Linked DNA regions of Callithrix jacchus. The protein of the gene in region 1 interacts with the protein of each later gene in a pairwise test. Links are inferred from orthologs where the notes say so. Each region holds a gene or a part of one and is shown in the gene's direction. Other genes may lie near its edges. The genes, in order: DNAJB11, UBR1 and PTN.

The links.
Region 2: the proteins of DNAJB11 (region 1) and UBR1 interact in a two-hybrid assay, tested with the Homo sapiens proteins (2 studies listed by BioGRID and IntAct). The link is inferred for Callithrix jacchus from reciprocal best matches to the Homo sapiens genes DNAJB11 and UBR1.
Region 3: the proteins of DNAJB11 (region 1) and PTN interact in a two-hybrid assay, tested with the Homo sapiens proteins (2 studies listed by BioGRID and IntAct). The link is inferred for Callithrix jacchus from reciprocal best matches to the Homo sapiens genes DNAJB11 and PTN.

The regions. Positions count from the first base shown.
Region 1 is NC_133516.1:15,552,579-15,558,828, forward strand, and holds the start of DNAJB11 (dnaJ homolog subfamily B member 11), read left to right. Parts: upstream 1-2,628; 5' UTR 2,629-2,852; coding exon 2,853-2,920; intron 2,921-4,045; coding exon 4,046-4,202; intron 4,203-6,250. UniProt on the Homo sapiens protein: As a co-chaperone for HSPA5 it is required for proper folding, trafficking or degradation of proteins.
Region 2 is NC_133509.1:30,852,980-30,859,104, reverse strand, and holds the start of UBR1 (E3 ubiquitin-protein ligase UBR1), read left to right. Parts: upstream 1-2,600; 5' UTR 2,601-2,613; coding exon 2,614-2,694; exon of another isoform or gene 2,695-2,708; intron 2,709-6,125. UniProt on the Homo sapiens protein: E3 ubiquitin-protein ligase which is a component of the N-end rule pathway. Recognizes and binds proteins bearing specific N-terminal residues that are destabilizing according to the N-end rule, leading to their ubiquitination and subsequent degradation.
Region 3 is NC_133512.1:109,978,166-109,984,144, forward strand, and holds the start of PTN (pleiotrophin), read left to right. Parts: upstream 1-1,770; 5' UTR 1,771-1,958; intron 1,959-5,979.

The DNA.
Region 1 (6,250 bases):
TTCAAGTGGGCTAGGGATGGTTATTGGCTCTTTTCAGATGGCAACCCCCTCCCTCTCCATCCTCACATTTATTCAGTATGAATTTCATAACAGAGTTTCTAAGTTAACATGCTTGTGGATAATTAATATGGTTAAAAGAGTGGTTTTATCAATGATAAAAGCTTTTGGTTTCATGCCCAGAGTAAACACTATTAATGCGTAATTCCCCTTTGATCTGCCCTGAGAGGACCATCCAGCACAAAGTTTACATGAGCAAACAGAGTAGAGACAAAGGGATGTGGGGTAAACAGACTTAACTGGGAAAGCTTCTTACTGTCTCTGTCTTTTCCCTAATCTAATGTAAATGAACTGGCTGCCTTCAGCCTGTCCCAATAAAACCTTTCAGTCTTCCAAAAGGTTTGAGATGATAATCCCTATAACTTTCCCTAATATTTCCCTAATTATTTTGCCAGCCACCCCAAGTGAATCTCCACACAAAAATACTTCCACACCTACTCCATGCCAGGCAGTGTTCTAAGTTACTGTTTCATACAGCTGTGAACAGAACAATATAGATTCATGCTCTCATGAAACTGGCATTTCAGTATGTAAGTCTAGGGTCCAGGGATTAAAAAAATAAAATAAAATTGGAGGCCGGGCATAGTGACTTATGCCTGTAATCCCAGCAATTTGGGAAGCAAGGCAGGTGGATCACTTAAGGTCAGGAGATCGAGACCAACCTGGTCAACATGGTGAAACCCTGTCTCTACTAAAAATACAAAATTAGACATGTATAGTAGCACGTGCCTGTAGGCCCTGCTACTTGGGAGGCTGAGGCAGGGGAATCACTTGAACCTGGGAGGTAGAGGTTGCAGTGAACCGAGATTGTGACACTGCACCCCAGCCTGGGCAACAGAGTGAGACTCTGTCTCAGGAAAAAAAAGAAAACAGGATGGTGTAAGAGTAAGAAACTCAGTAGGGGCTAATTTTGAATGATTGGTCAGGGAAGTCTTCCCTGAGGTGGTGGCATTTAAGCTGATTTATGAGTTGAAGAAGGAATCACCTGTGTCAGGACATGAGGGAGAGTACAGTGTTTCAGGTAAAGGGCATAGCTAGCACAGAGGCCCTCAGCAGGTGTATGCAAAAAAGAAAGGAAGCAAGTTTTGCTGGACCATGGTCAGGAGTATAATAGGTGAGAGGGAGTACAAAGCATAAACAGCTTTGTAAACTAGCATTAAGTTGGGATTTTATTCTAAATGCAAAGGAAGAGTCATTCCAGGATTTTAAGCAGGGGAGTGACATGATTTGACTTTTATTTTTATTTATTTTATTTTGAAATGGAGTCTAACTGTTGCCCAGACTGGAGTGCAGTGGTGCGATCTCCACTCACTGCAACCTCCACCTCCCAAATTCAAGGGATTCTCCTGCCTCAGTCTCCCGAGTAGCTGGGATTACAGGCGCCCGCCACCACACTCAGCTAATTTTTGTATTTTTAGTGAGACAGGGCTTCATCATTTTGGTCAGGCTGGTCTTGAGCTCCTGACCTCAGGTGATCCGCCTGCCTCGGTCTCCCAGTGTGCTGAGATTACCGGTCTTTTTTTTTTTTTAATTATGGAGTGGGGGACAGGATGAGCAACATCTATTAAGGTATTAAGGAAGATATTAAGAGTAGGGGCAGACAGAACAGTTAGGAGACCCTGGCCAGGTGAGAGATACTCTGTGATCCAGAGACCCCGTAATGGAGATATAGTGGACAGATTCAAGTATAGTTCAGGGGTAAAGATTTGGATAGCTTATACATGAAAGGAATAAAAACACCGAGAGTTTTGTCCTGATCAACTAGGTGTTGTGTAACTGTGATGAGTAAAATTCGGGGAAGAGGGGGAATCAACTGCTTGAACTGTAATAATGGTTTTTATTCATTGCCTGCTTACCATGTGCCCAACGATTTACAGATATTTTTTCCCTGTAAAAATTCCCTGTAAAAAACAGCACTGCCAATAAGTACTTTGCCTTAGTTTTGCTGATAAAAAAAACTTAGGCTCAGACTCGGGAGGAGAAGAGGGATAGGGGAGTCTCACCTCTAAGTGGTGGAAGCTTAATCCTATCGTCACGGTCGGCTTTCCGAGACGGTTGCCTTAAGGAGTTGCTTGGAGAACGTAAAATAAGAGTCCGAAGCAATGCGTCCGATGTACAGCAGTCGTGGAATAACTGTACCGGCCCATTCTGCCGCTATACCTCTGCTCCCGCTTTCGGCGCGAAGCTGGATATGAATGAAATTCCATACTTGTAACAGAGAGAAAACTTTTCTCCCGCAATTGGTCAGTGCTGGGGAGGAGCCTCCTGATTGGTGAGAAGCCCGAGGAAGTAGGCGAGCCGGAGGGGATTTCTTGTACCTCAGGGGGCCCCCTCGGTCGACCCCGCCCCCTACTTACGTAATTTTCTACGACTCGGGGTAGCTCGGGCAGAGCCGGTTCCTGCAGCGGCGCAATCCTCTGACATCTCTTCTTCTAATTGGTCGGGAGCTGCGACTGCAATTCTGAAGCCTAACTGGCTGCCCTTGCCGCCTCGGAGGTGAAGTGTACTGCGCTGATTGGCTTCCAGGCGCCGGCCGCGTGTGATGTCCGGGGCAACGATTGGCTCTCGCCTGCTGGGGACTTCTCTCACTGGGACTCGGGACTCCCGGGAAGTGGACTGGTAGAGGACGGGGCTAGCTAGCTGTCTCTTCGGACCAAGGAGGAGACCCACCCCCCCGCGCCCTCCGGTGTGAGGCGGCCTCCCAGGGCCGGGTGGGCTGGCGAGCCGACGCGGCTGCGGCGGCGGAGGAGGAGGCTGTGAGGAGTGTGTGGTACACGACCCGGGACAGAGGAACCATGGCTCCGCAGAACCTGAGCACCTTTTGCCTGTTGCTGCTGTACCTCATCGGGGCCGTGATTGCCGGGTGAGGAGTAGACACGGGGCCGGTGGGTCAGCCTTTGCTGGGGGTGGGAGGGAGTGGGGGATGTGGCATTGCCAGACTGAGGGAGTGGAGAGGGGCATCGCTGTGGGGTGACGGGATGACTGAGGAAGGGGTAGTATGGGCCTGGCTAGTGGGGTGAGAGGAGAACCGTGGGTGACACCAGTGAGAGGGCTTTACGTCTAGAGAGGGCCTTAGGTAGAGCTAGATTTGCCCAGAGGAGTGGGAGTTGGATGAATTGCCAAATGGCATTTGGGGGATGAGGAGAGTTTGAGGGCAAGAAGGTGGTTGTGAGCTGAAGCAGTGTCACGTAGAGCTGGGGAAGAAAGAGGGGTGACTGACTGTATGGCAAGGTAATGACAGTGTCAGGCTGAGGTTGGGGGGATGGACGTTTTGTTTGATCGAAGAGGTGGGTTGCTGTGCCCCGCTGAGCTGGAGAAGCGGATGATACTCTATGCCAAGCCTGCAACGAGTCACTGGGGGGCCGACATTAAAGTGGGTGGATAATGCCAGATCGAGTTGGAACTGAACAAAATCGGATGGGGGAGGGGAGCAAGAAGACCCTTGGAGAGCCCTTGTACTTCCCAGCTTCTTGAGCTATGTATTATCTTCGGTTGCTTCATCTTTAAAGTTCTGGCAGTGCTACTGTTAGAACATTTAAGTGGCATAATCTTTTTAAATAAGGAAAGTCATCCTTTGAGAATGTTATTTGACTTTTAGAAAAGTCAAAAGTCATTTGGAGCCAGTATAGGGAAAGGGAGGAAGAGTTCATTTGACTATATGATTATTGCCTAAAAATAACATGAGACCGTAAAATAAGGAAGCGGTTTTCTTGATTGAAGGTGGCTCTAAAAGAAGAGTTCCACAGATGTTTTGAATAATCTAAAAAGAAGTATGTAGCCTCTTACTGTGATTACATCAATATATAATATTCATTACAAATTCTGGTGTTGTCTTTTTAGTCATACTTTGTGTGTGTATGTGTCGCATAACCCATTTTTGTATTTCTTTGCTCGGATACAAACCCAAATGTAGGGGAAAAATTTTTTTTGCTTTTAAAAATCTAACAGATAACTCTTTAATGAAGTATTCTCTCCCTCTACTTCCCAGGCGAGATTTCTATAAGATCTTGGGGGTGCCTCGAAGTGCCTCTATAAAGGACATTAAAAAAGCCTATAGGAAACTGGCCCTGCAGCTTCATCCTGACCGGAACCCTGATGATCCACAAGCCCAGGAGAAATTCCAGGATCTGGGTGCTGCTTATGAGGTGAGTCCTAAAAAATGATAAAGTATGAATAAAATCTGTAGGTGTAGAAAAAGCATTTACTACAGAGAAACACTCCTTTCAGTTCACTTTTATTTATTATTATTGTTGTTATTATTTTGGGGGGGGACTAAGTCTTGCTCTATTGCCCAGGCTGGAGTGCAGTGGCACATCTCCACTCGCTGAAACCCCCGCCTCCTGGGTTCAAGCAATTCTCCTGCCCAGCCTCCCGAGTAGCTGGGATTACAGGCGCACGCACCACACCCAGCTAATTTTTCTATTTTTAGTAGAGACAGGGTTTCACCATGTTGGCCAGGCTGGTCTCAAACTTCTGACCTCAAGTGATCTGCCCACCTTCTTAGCCTCCCAAAGTGCTAAGATTACAGGCATGAGCCACTGCACCCAGCCAAGGTCACTTTTATTTAAAAACTAAACAGTAGATAAAAGTAAAAGTAGTACTTGATGCTGTATTGTATTAGATATTAAATTCACATTAGTAGATGCCATTTTCTTCCTTTTTATATTAATATTCCAGAATAATGTTGAAAAAGAATAAATGACAGATGATAGATTAATAAGTAGATCAACTGGTCTATCAGTCAGTTTGGGAGCTAGAGCCAAGAATAAAAAGAAAACCTTCATGAGAGTTGCAAGCCTTAAATGACCATATGAACTAGACAAATGACATGCAAGGCAGATATAAATTAAAACATGGCAGCAGATATTCTGCCTCTGTATTGGGAAGCAATAAGGATTGCTGAGGACTTTGACAAACTGAAGGCTCCTTGCCCTATTTCAAGGGGACAGTTGTTACTCAACCCCAAACAATTTTTGTCATATAAATGCAAATAGTATTTTCCTAGATGATTTAATTTTTCAAGAAAAGTTGAAAATCTAGATTTTTATATAAATTCTGCTTGTGAAAACTAATTCAGTTAAATTTCTTTTTTACATAGATCAACAAAGCACAGTTTTAATTTGATTTTGCAACCTCTAATCTGGGGGTCAAAACACTTTCATGTGTATCATCTCATTTAATCTTTACTAGGACACCAGGAAATATAGTAGAGCTAGGCATATTTTCTTATTTTTTAAATGGACACAGAAGAAAATTAATTGAACTAAAAGTCACAGAGCTAAAACTCCCAAATTTAAGTTAAAATTCTTGTATATTGAGAAGGCTAGAAACAAATTGAAAAATATTTTAGGAAGACACAAATCTCAAAAGAAAGGAATCCCAAGACCTCTTAGATTAAAGAAGCAATGGAAATGAAACAGTGACTTATACCCAGGTGAATCCAAGAGCTCTTGGGGTCCTTCTTCTTTCAACACCTGCAGGGATCCTATGGGACAGAAATTCTTAACCTGAGGCACGTGAATAAACTTGAAAAGGTTGATGGCCCATCCTAAATTATATGTAACATTTTGTTTCTTGTTTATAATATGGATTCCATATTTTGCACTGAATGTTCCATGAATAGTCCCTTGTTTGCCAGGGACCCAATACTCAAAAACATTTTCTAAGGAAGCTGAATTTACCATGCTGTCTAAAAAATCTACATGTTCTTTATGACGTAGGCAAGCTATACAAAGGTCAGTCATGAAATTACAATTTATTTAACTATTAACCCTTGAAATTTCTTTTTTCTTTTTATCATTCAAGCTTGATTGCCTTTAGTCTTAGGTAAATTAGTGTTCACGAATTAGAATCCGAGTACAGTTATGAAGATTCTTTTATGAATACAAATTTGTTTTCTCTACAGAGCTAGGATTACTGCTGGCATTTTAAGTACTTAGGAATCTGTGTATTGGTTGCCAATCAACTAAAACCCTTTTTTCTTTTAAAATAGTTTCCAAGACCATGGAGTAAAATTACATTCCTTGATGGAAGAAAAGTGAGGAGGAAGTGAATGATAATAAATGACTTCCAGAGTAGTTTTTAGGAGATTATTACAGAAGCCTCTGATGTCTAAAAAGAAACTGAGTCTTTGGGGGTTTTAAATGGTGTTTTTTGTAGTCTCATATGCAGGGTTCATTTCTTTGCAAGATAA
Region 2 (6,125 bases), on another chromosome or scaffold:
GGAGTTAGAGACCAGCGTGGCCCACATGGTGAAACCCCGTTTCTACTACAAATACAAAATGTAGGCAGGTGTGGTTGCACATGTCTGTAATCCCAGTTACTCGGGAGGCTGAAGCAGGAGAATAGCTTGAACCTGGGAGGTGGAGGTTTCAGTGAGCCAAGACATGACCACTGCACTCCAGCCCAGGTGACATAGCCAGACTCCATCTCCATCAGCTTATTCCTAGCTCAGATCTGTCATTCCCGTCATCTCTCAAATCCTCCATACTTTTGTTTTGTTATCTGCCTCCTGAGTTCCTAGACTTCCCTCTGTTGTGAGATCACCCGTTCCCACATACAGACCTTCATGTTTAGGCCATCAATTATTTATCTCCTTGAAATATGTTAACAGAATAGCTCAAGTATAATTCAATTACATTAAAATTCCTCTGACCCAACAAAATACTACTGCATCTACGAGCATCTCTGAGGAGCAAGAAAATTGAGGTTCAGAGATCATGACTTGACTTTGTAAGGAAGTAGTAAAATCAGGACTTTAAACCCAGAACTTTGGAAAGCCCGGGTGGGTGAATCATAAGGTCAGGAGTTCGAGACCAGCCTGGCCAACATGGTGAAACTGTCTGTACTAAAAAAATACAAAAATAGGCTGGGCGTGGTGGCTCAAGCCTATAATCCCAGCACTTTGGGAGGCCGAGGAGGGTGGATCACGAGATCAAGAGATCGAGACCATCCTGGTCAACGTGGTGAAACCCTGTCTCTACTAAAAATACAGAAATTAGCTGGGCATGGTGGCGTGTGCCTGTAATCCCAGCTACTCGGGAGACTGAGGCAGGAGAATTGCTTGAACCCAGGAGGCGGAGGTTGCGGTGAGCCGAGATCGCGCCATTGCACTTCAGCCTGGGTAACAAGAGAGAAACTCCGTCTCAAAAAAAAAAAAACAAAAAAAAAACAAAGATAAGCCGGATATGGTGGCTTGTGCCTGTAATCCCAATTACTCGGGTGGCTGAGGCAGAATTGCTTGTGCTGGGGAGACTGGGATTGCAGTGAGCCGAGATCACGCCACTGCACTCCAGCCTGGGCTGACAGAGCAAGACTCCATATCAAAAAAATAAAAAAATAAAATAGGGCCGGACGCGGTGGCTCAAACCTGTAATCCCAGCACTTGGGGAGGCCGAGGCGGGTGGATCACAAGGTCAAGAGATCGAGACCATCCTGGTCAACATGGTGAAACTCCGTCTACTAAAAATACAAAAATTAGCTGGGCATGGTGAGGCGTGCCTGTAATCCCAGCTACTCAGGAGGCTGAGGCAGGAGAATTGCCTGAACCCAGGAGGCGGAGGTTGCGGTGAGCCGAGATTGCGCCATTGCACTCCAGCCTGGGTAGCAAGAGCGAAACTCCGTCTCAAAAAAACAAAAAATATATATTTACACACACACACACGTATATAATATCTATTTCTATATAACAAATATGTATATATAAAATATACATTAACTTTTTTTTGAGACAGAGTATTTTGCTCTTGTTGCCCAGGCTGGAGTGCAATGGCACGATCTCAGCTCACTGCAACCACCGCCTCCCAGGTTCAAGCAATTCTCCTGCCTCAGCCTCCCGAGTGGCTGGGATTTCAGGAATGCGCCACGATGCCCAGCTAATTTTGTAGTTTTAGTAGGGACGGGGTTTCACCATGTTAAGGCTGGTCTCAAACTCCCGACCTCTGGTGATCCGTCTGCCTCAGTCCCCCAAAGTGCTGGGATTACAGGCGTGAGCCACCGCGCCCGGCCACATATACTTTTAAATTATTTGTTTGGTAAACAATTTAAAATACAGATGAAGCTAAAGTAGTTCTTGACCACCTTCTTGCTCCAATCCGAATCCTGGCCCTCAGTTACCACTTGGCTCTTTCCCCTTTCAGAGTTATTCCTTCACATCTAAATGCATATGTGTGCAAATATATAGTTTTCGGCAACTTGGCCTTTTTCTCTCACTTAATTTACCTTTTCACTTAGATTTATCTTGCTCAAAGCTGCACGGTATTTCAAAATGCGGGAGTACCATAGTGTATCTTGTCTTTCCTCTAGCGATGAATGACTAGGTTTCCAATTTTTTGTTATTTCCCCTCCGTGCCCCCCAATAAAGCTGGATCCTGAGCTTTTTTTGTACGCATGTGCAAGTGCCTACGGGGTAGACTCCTAAAAATGGAAGATGTGTGAGTACTTTCTTTTGTATTTCGTAGGTTCTGGGGAACACTGCAGGGAGGTCGGGATACAAAACATGCCCAGGCTAACAACCGGCGAGCTAGGATAGCTCCTGACAGTTTTCTTCCTTTCATAATGGACGCTGAATTTGTTGTTGTTTTTTACTTCGTAGATGCAACAGTTCTCAGCACCAAACGCTATGCCTGATAAATTAGAGGGAAAAATACCCTCCAGTCCCTTCATGTTGTGACGCTTGCTTCCGGGAAGCGGGCCGGAAGCCGGTCCTCGATTCTGCGTGAAACCCGACTTCAGGGGCCGTCGTAAAAGTGTCGTTCCCGTCTCTCCGACCAGCCACAGGTTTCCGCTTGCTTCTGGCCAGGGGGGTCAGCAACTGTAGGCGTCAGTTTCCCTCAAGATGGCGGACGAAGAGGCTAGAGGTGCGGAAAGAATGGAAATCTGCTCGGAGTTACCCCAGACCCCTCAGCGTCTGGCAGCTGTAAGTCCCTATAGGCAAGTCTCTTTTGTCCTCCCCCAATCCCTCCCTACTGCGCTCAGGAGAATGTGGAGCTTCACCCCTTATGGCGGCTCTGGGGAGGGGAAGTTATATGGATTGATCTGGAAGGAAGCCACCGAATAAAAAGTTAGTCGCAACCCACGTTTCTGCCAGCCAAGTCTACGGAATATTATGACTTTGTTATGTATTATTCTTGTTGTTCTCAAGCATGCACGTCTCTATTTTGAAGTAGAAAGAACCGGTGATGTTATTAGACGGTTTGATATGGGGGCTGAGGTGGTGGAGTTGGAGCAAGAGCCATTTTCGTATAGAAGCAGTGCTAACCCCTCTTGATGATGGGAACGCAGCATCTGGTATTGTATTGCACAGCCGGCTGACCGGGACGTGATAATGGTAGTGAGTGCTGCCACTGTCAAGTCATGTCAAGATGTTATGTGCAGGAATTGTCCTTCTATATAGCATCTTGAGAACCCCAGGCCTAACCTTCTGTGGAGAAACCCATCATCTGTCGCTGCTTTTTAAAAGTGAAGAAGGGACGCCCAAACATTTCAAGCCAGAGCAATACCATTAATTAATATCGGAATCTATACTTTGCTCCAGCAGTTTGAAAGAATGGGAAGGCAGAGATAGTGAACAAATTTGAGTGAGTAGCTACAGGGAGAAAGCTGACAGAGGAAGATAAGAGGTAGAGGGCAATGTTAGGGAATGTTCTGGATGCCTAGGGCATCTAGTGGGGAGATATTTAGAAAATATTCAAATATCTATCACTGCATAATGTTTTATTAGTTTGTTTTTCTAAGTAGCAGCAGTTAGAAAATTGGGATATACACTTTTTTTTCTGAAGTTTCTTGGGTTTGCAGTGTAATGGAAACTTTTTTTTTTTGAGAAGGAGTTTCACTCTTGTTGCCCAGGCTCGAGGACAGTGGCGCAATCTCAGCTCACTTCAATTCAGGCGATTCTCCTGCCTCAGCTTCCAGAGTAGCTGGGATTACAGGCGCCTACCCCCACACCCAGTTAAATTTTTTTGTATTTTTAGTAGAGACGTGGTGTCACCATGTTGGCCAGGCTGATCTCTAACTCCTGACCTCAGGTGATCCACCTGCCTTGGCGACCCAAAATATTGGGATTACAGTGTAAGCCACCGCAGCTGGCCTAATAAAAGCATTTGTTTTAATCTTGCAGACAATTGAGCATTGTTTTATTAAGGACAGAGGGAACTACAGAATGAGTCAACTCCAGGGACTGATGAGACTGGCTAGGTGGTAGGAATCAAGTAGGAAGGGAGTTGGAAAAAGGATTTGGTCACTGACTGTGTTAGTGCTTGTAGTTTTCCTCCACCCCAAATAGCGGTTCAAATTCACTTCACTACTGGCAGTAAAGGAGGAAGCGTCTATTTGAGATGATAAGGAATGAGGAGGTGGGACAAGTTCAGAAGCAGCTGAAACATCTTAATGGTAATTTGTGGGTTAGAAGGAGTGGGGAAACTCTGCTGTGGTCAGAAAAATTATTAGTTTTGTATCCGAAGATTAATATTTATTTAAAGCTTTGATACATTAATTTTTTCCAGGTAGTACAGTAAAACTCTATCATTCTGGACACCACTCATTTGGAATTGAGACAATGATACAGGAATTGAGATAGAATTTATTTGGCAAACTTCACCTCAGGAAATATTATTAGATTTTGTTGGGCAAGGCTTTAGGTTTTGCAAAGTAGTAGGTAGATTGTGTAATATAGCCCCAAGGAACTCAGCCCCAAGGAACTCACAGTCTGGTGACACAGCTAATATAAGTGCCCAAAGAATTTTAATTCAAGGTAAAGTACTGTCAGTAGACAAGACCTTTAACTGTTACGCTTCATAACCACTTTTTTGGCTTGGCTCTCTCTACCTACTGAAGATCCTACAGCTCATTATACCTTTCTCTCTCTGTTTCTCAAGCTACTACTGACTTTAATTTTATTTCAGCCATGGCGTGACACTGGCTTCCCAGTTTACTACTTTGGTGTTAAGCAACATGAGCTCAGTTGTCCCCCCTACTCCTTATTGCTTATCTTTAGACAAAGGTAAATGGTATGGGACATTTATAGAGGTTTAAGCAATTGAACAGTTTCTATTAGAGTCTAATTCCTGGTTATAGTTTTTGATTTCCTTTAAACTTCCTTCTTAGTCTGCAGGTCCTTTTTCATTCATATTGCTATTGGTAAGCATGAAGGCTGTAATATTCCTAACATTATCTCACATGCAATTCACGTAAAATAATAGGTATGAATTTGCAGATATTTATAAAAGCCATTGCTTAAGAATCACCAGAGGAACTGATACCATAGGTCTGAGAATCTGCATTTTCACAAGCATGCCCTGCTGATTCTGAAATAGTGGTCCAGGGCCACACTTTCAGTAACACTTAGCTAGGTATTTGGAAGTTATCAGTAAATTATTGACAGTTGAGTTGTGGGAATGGGTAACATATTTTTTTTGAGACAGGGTCTCACTTTATCACCCAGGCTAGAGTGCAGTGGCACAAATGTAACTCTCTGTAGCCTCAGCCTCTTGGGCTCAGGTGATCCTCCCACCTCAGCCTCCTAAGTGGCTGAGAATATAGGTACGGGCCACCATGCCCTGCTAATTTTTTGCATTTTTTATAGAGACAGGGTTTTGTTTTATTTATTTATTTTAAGACAGAGTCTCACTCTACCACCCAGGCTGGAGTACAGTGGCACTATCTTAGCTCACTGCAACCTCCACCTCCTGGGTTCAAGCAATTCTCATGCCTCAGCTTCCCAGGTAGCTGGAGTTACAGGTGTGCGCCACCATGCCTAGCTAATTTTTGTATTTTTAGTAGAGACAGGATTTTGCCATGTGGCCAGACTGGTTTCAAGCCCCGATCTCAAGTGATCCATCTGCCTTGGCCTCCCAAAGTGGTGGGATTACAAGTGTGAGCCACTATACCCAGCCTGGATAAAATCTTTCAGGAGGAAAATGTGTGCATATGTAGACACACACATACAGAGGAAAATAGAGTGTGTGAGAGAGACGATGAGAGAACAGGAATGATTGAAATGGGTAGAAAATGGAAGAACTGGAACGTGGAAACAGAACAGGCAAGCTGGTAAGAGGTGAGAGTAGTGCAATGGCAGGGGTAATGTTTTGAGGAGAGGGTGGTGGTTTATTGTGTCCATGATGTTGAGGACTGAGAAAAATTGCGAATCAAGAGTGTTGGTGGGTAGTTTGCCAGAACTTCTTTCTGCCTTCTGTCTTCCTTAACTAGATTTTCTTAAGTCAATTTCAGAAGATACCTCTTGGCATGACACTCAGCTCTTATCTATTGCCCATTTACAACAGGCATACACCAACTATGCCCAGTTTTTTTTTTTTTTTGAAGACAAGGTCTGTCTCTGTCGTGCAGGCTGGA
Region 3 (5,979 bases), on another chromosome or scaffold:
AATTACAAAAGGAAAATAGGTAACTTGAGGCCTGTGTGTAGGAGAAAGGAACACAGCTTCCTTATTTAGTTATTTCATTTGAGAATTGTTTATGGTATGTGTATGAAGAGTTTGGGAAGGGGGATAAGCTGTAAGTGTGTAAGTGCATGTCTGATGCCATTTCTTTTGAATAGTTTGACTACTTGATTAAATTTATAGAGCTACCTCTTTGGTTCCAGCTGACTCCTCCATGGGATATTTCTCCAGGTAGCAGTCAATATAAGATCCCCAAATCCCTAAAAACTACTTGCCACCACAATGCTTCTAATTTAGGGGTTTGGGGATAGCTCTAAGTAAATAAGTTGCTTAATAAATATTTGTCAAATTGAAACGAAGGGATGTAACCTCAGAACTATGAAAAATGCAAGTCTATTTTACTATCAATTTGGGAGGACACCATCAAATGATAAGCTGAGCGGTAAAAGTAAGTGAAAGGAACTAGCCAAGGAGCAGGAAAAGCTGGTAAGTAGCAGAAAATCTCGAGATTTACATTTTGAAAATGTTTGGGTAAATTTGTGTAATGCATCTTAATCTTAATACAATACTTGTATCTCATCTGTATCATGAATACTTACCTCTGCATTGACTTAGCATCTTTCCTCAACTGAATGAAATGAAAATTTCAGAGAGACACAAAGCCCAGCCTCCAACTTTTACAAACCTCAGCATTTGAGCTACATTGACACATCCTCTAAATTCTTGGGTGTCAAAGGCATGTTACTAAATAGGTCACTAAAGGCACCAAGGAAACCAAAAAAGGAGAGAGCTCTCCCTAAAGGTAAGTAGTACTTAATTGGGAGTTTTCAGACGTCTGTCACTCTTTGTGACAATCGAGAAAAAGTACTTTGTACATTTTGTGCTTTGCAGATGAGATGTGACTCACAGCTGGGTAACTGCCTCTGTGTATAGGGAGGGCTTTGGCGGGTGGGAAAGAAGAGGCTGGTTTGAAGAGAATGCTTTTTCTATTTTTTTTTTTTTTTTTTTTTTTTAGACAGACTTTCCCTCTTGTTACCCAGGCTGGAGTGCAATGGCGCGATCTCGGCTCACTGCAACCTCCACCTCCTGGGTTCAGTCAATTCTCCTGCCTCAGCCTCCTGAGTAGCTGGGATTACAGGCACGTGCCACCATGCCCAGCTAATTTGTTGTATTTTTAGTAGAGACGGGGTTTCACCATGTTGACCAGGATGGTCTCGATTTCTTGACCTTGTGATCCACCCGCCTCAGCCTCCCAAAGTGCTGGGATTACAGGCTTGAGCCACCGCGCCCAGCGAGAGTGCTTTTTCATCCTGAATATCATTAAAGAATTGTGTGGGGCCAAAACTGTAACCTAAAATGCAGTCAATTGTTCATTTAAAATATCCCAGTTGGCAAAGTGGCTTTGCACCATCTGAAGACTTGATAATGCATGGAGTTTGGAAGAGAAATACTGTGTTTGGTCTCTGCTAAAAACAAAACAAAATGCCATCTCCTGGCCTCTTAGTTCAAATCCCTTTTCTTGCTCCATGGGGAGAGACTGCCCCTGGAGTATTCTGCTTTTAATAAGCTTCCCAATCAGCTCTGGAGCGCAAAGCGCTCTCCCTCCCTCGCCCAGCCTGCGTCCTCCTGGCCCGCTCCTCTCATCACTCCCATTCTCCATTTCCCTTCCGTTCCCTCCCTGTTGGGGCGTAATTGAGTCAAAGGCAGGATCAGGTTCCCCGCCTTCCAGTCCAAAAATCCCGCCAAGAGAGCCCCAGAGCAGAGGAAAATCCAAAGTGGGGAGAGGGGAAGAAAGAGACCAGTGACTCATCCGTCCAGAAGGCGTGGAGAGCCGCAGCCACCCAGAGCTGCAGCGAGCCGCCCATACCTGGACTCGGCAGTAGCAACCTCGCCCCTCGCAACAAAGGCAGCCTGAGCGCCAGAGCGGACATTTGCAACTCAAAGTAAGTGAGAAGAACGCACGATTTCTCGGAGGGCTCTTCGAGTTTGCCTTCACCCTGTGCCACTTTTCTGGGTGCCAGCCGATGATGGTGGTAGGAGTGAGAGAGGCTGCCTGGTGTCGTTGCTGATAGGACCGCTTTCAAAACTGACTTGCTTCAGGGACGAAGGGAGGCATATTTTGGGGGAGTGAGGTTAGGTTCGTCAGGGAGTGCTTAGGTAAGTGTGAGAAGTTTTTGTGATGTTAAGCGTGCATTTGGACCCTGTTCCAGCTGCCAGCTGGAGAGCAGGCCAGGGCGGGAGAGTGCATCTTTGCTTTTTGTAAAACCGGGAGCTTTAGTAGGTGTGTCTGTGGCTGGGTAGTTGAAGAGAAAGTAAGGCAGCCTGAACAAGCAGCTCTCATTTTCCAATCCTCTCTCTGATTCTCTGATTGCCCCAGGGCCGGCCAGCCCATGACTCTTAGCTGGCATTTCTAGGTAAACTGTGGGGGCTTGTTCCTCCCAATGCTAGCTGACATGGAACGTCTCTCACAGAACCACTGGCACCCTTATTCCCACCTGACAGCCCAGGAATGGTTCCAGAAATGGTTAGACCCAAAGCTTAGAAGATGCCCCCTGAGTCCCATATAAAGAACTGCCCTGTACATAGACCCTTAAACTTTTAATTTGACCCATATGAACCTAGGGTGTATTTGTTACTAATCGACTAGATATTGAGAGTTTCTAAGTTGATGTTTCTAATAAGTTATGAAATTTTTTTGAGAGGAATATATTCAACTCCTTTCTTACTTAATAGACTGAACGTGAAGCCTTCTCTCTCTTCTCCATACACACACACACCCCTTTTTCCATGACATAACACGACACAACACACACGCGCTCATACAAGAACACATACATGCCGTATAGATCCGCTTTATTGTTAACTCACCCTTGTGTCTATTAAGAGCTGCTTTGTAAGTTTGGGAATACATTCAGAAAATAGGAGGGGTGGGGGTCCTAAGAGGAGAGAATAGTAAAGTTCCCATCCTTGAGCATTTTAAGAGTTATCAAGCATTTTGCTTTAGCAGCTTGAGAAAGGGGTGGGGTGTATGTGTGTGCGTGCGTGTCTGTATGTGTGTGTGTGCGCGTGCGCGCACTGGAGTAAGGGATCTGGGAGAAGACTTGGTAAATTACCAAAAAGAGCTTTTGAACTAATAACATAATGAAGCAATTTTATGATCCAAGGCAAACATGGAATTGATGAAACAGCAGAGCCCATTTTAGCCCCTTAATTATCTAGGAATGCATTGATATGTAGAAATATTAACAGGTAATGAGAATGAAACAAAAGAGAAGTCTCCCAACGCAGAAAATAAAGCTTGTATTTTCCATCTTCATTATGTTTCTTTTTAAGTAAATTATGCATTTTAAAGGCCAAATCATTAAGGAATATGTAGTCCAGTTAAATTCAGAGGAAATTAGAATGAATATTATCTTTTTTTTTTCTCCCTTTGGGACATGAGTTATTTCAGACTGGCAATATTTATACGTTTTCATTTAAATTAGATGAGATTTTTAAAAATTATATATTTTTTCAAAAATACTCTAATGCCATTCTTTTGTGCTTTAAGAAACTTGGGCCTTAAATTCTCTAATTGTGCTCTAAATACATAGAAGATGATCTTTTTTCCTGCCACTGCTCACTGATTCCCTTTGGGACATCTTTTTCTTCATTTAGTGAAAAGCCACTATAAGGAACTCCCATCTGAAGCCACATGTAACAGCATTATTAGTTGCTGTGTTCCAGCTGTTTGCTTCTGGATGCAAATGCATTATGTTCTCAAAGGTAGAGCTTGAGATATACACAAGTACTATTTAATACATGACTTTTAAATTATCTGACTTTAAATGAGATATTACAGAGAATTAGAGTAATAAAGTATACCTAACTATATTTATAGTCTAATGTATTGTATGTATTATATATAATTCTCTGTTTTTTTTAGACTTCTTTTCATGAGATCATGAGATTTGGAATCATGAACTTCCTAATTTATTGACATTTTCCATGTGCCTTATTTGGGCTTCACATATAGCAATGTGTAGCAAGACCTACATTTCTTTTTAATGAGCATTTTCATTTTTTGAAAGATTTCAGTAAAGCTAATGGCCCTTTTATAAATATAAAATTATAAAATTTTATAAATTTTAAACCTGAAACAACGGAAAACAACAGAGAGAAATAAGATTTCCAGATAGTTGAATCATTTTTATTCAATAAAATTAATCTTTGATGTCAAATATTTTAACTTTAAATCTTTTATTTTTTCTTTGACAATACCCTTGCTTTCTCACCTACATGACATCCTCACATGAATTCTAATCGTATTCCTATTTGTGACATTGTGTTTTCAATTACTATTCAAAAATATCCTAGGAAACTGAGTTTAGTTGGCTTGTTCATAATGATGTGATAAATTTAACAATAGATTGAGGGCCAGAAGTCAGAATTCAGATACGAATTCCCTTTCTCTAAACAATTATGTTTTTTAATATGGCGGTATAATGATAAGGGGAGTTGTTCTTGACTTCTCTCCTGAAGGAGGTGTCCAAACTGGACCACCCAATGTGATGAGAGTTCAGATGTGCTCCACACCTGAGTGCATCTCAGCCCAGTTTGAGGTCAACTTTTCTCAGGAGCATGAGGCTATGTGGGAACTCTCCAATGGTCTTTGTTCCGTGGCTTTGCTAGTGATGTTGAGTTGGGCTTCTCCAGAAGGGTGAGGAATGTTTTCTCCTCTGGCTTCTGTTCTAAATGAGTAATCGAAGAGATTTGTCTCCTTCTTACACAAGGTCATGTCGTTGCTGTTGGAGGGGAGGTAAAATAATACTCAGGTATGAACCTTCTTTTTATGAGCTGGGCTTGCTTTTTTCCATCCAGAGTCAATTGGCTTAAGTGGAATTTGGAGTATGGCCTCAAGGAAAGTTGTCTTTCGCTCTGGTGTTTATGGACAATTGAAGTTTCCACTCGCTGGGCTATTTTTCCATCCACTTTAAGCCAGCCTAGTATTTGGCATAGTTATCATGGTGTCATTACAATATTTCTAGACTGTAAAATATAACAAGCCTCCTTTTCTTTCTATTTTGGCATTTAGTAAATAAGAAATTAAAACAGAAGTTTAGAAGGGTAACTATGATGAAACATTATCAGAGGGTATTATAAATATGGTAATATTTTGGATTTAATTATGTAGATCACATTCAGCACAAATCCCTATTTCTTCAGGGTGGGCAGGGAATACAGTGACTCCTTCATGTTTGAGACACTTTTAGAAATAAAGTTTAATTCATTTTTTGGGCTTTATTTATTGAGCCTCTTTTTCATAGTGAGTTTAGATAAAGTGATATCTCAAATAGAAAAGACAATCATATCCTTTCTAAAAATAGAACTCTTAAATTTTTTTTCATACAGAGTATAACAAAAAATCAACTGATGTATATTAATCTTGAAAAAAGTGAGTCATAGTAACTAATAATCGGGCCCTTCATTTTAAGAATTGTTCTTAGCAAAAGCCAAAACATCATTTTAAAACACAAATAACATTCTGTGTCTCTAACCCTTTGTTCTCTTTTCTTCCTGCCTTTACATTTACCTGTTTCTCCCTTTTATCTCATTTATCTATTAATTTGGTTGACACTATCTCCATCCAATAGGTCCCAGAATGTGTTACCCAATTCCCTCTTCTTATGATAGCATACATTTCTCTATGAACAGACGTGCTAGGAATGTCTTCCCATATCTTGGCATTCTTGAAAACTTGGACCTTCCTAGCTGATATTTTGACATTCTTTTGGACCTGATCTGCTCCCAATCTGTTTTCAGTACCAATGCCCTCCCACTGATTCAATGGTATTTTCCTTTTTGTTGTTGTTGATTCAAGACCTTGGCTAAGGGTCAGCCAACACTTTCATCACTGCAATGTGTTGACCTCCTTCTCTTCTCAGCTTCCCAACATCAGTGTAAGGGCGCAGCTGGAGTTACATG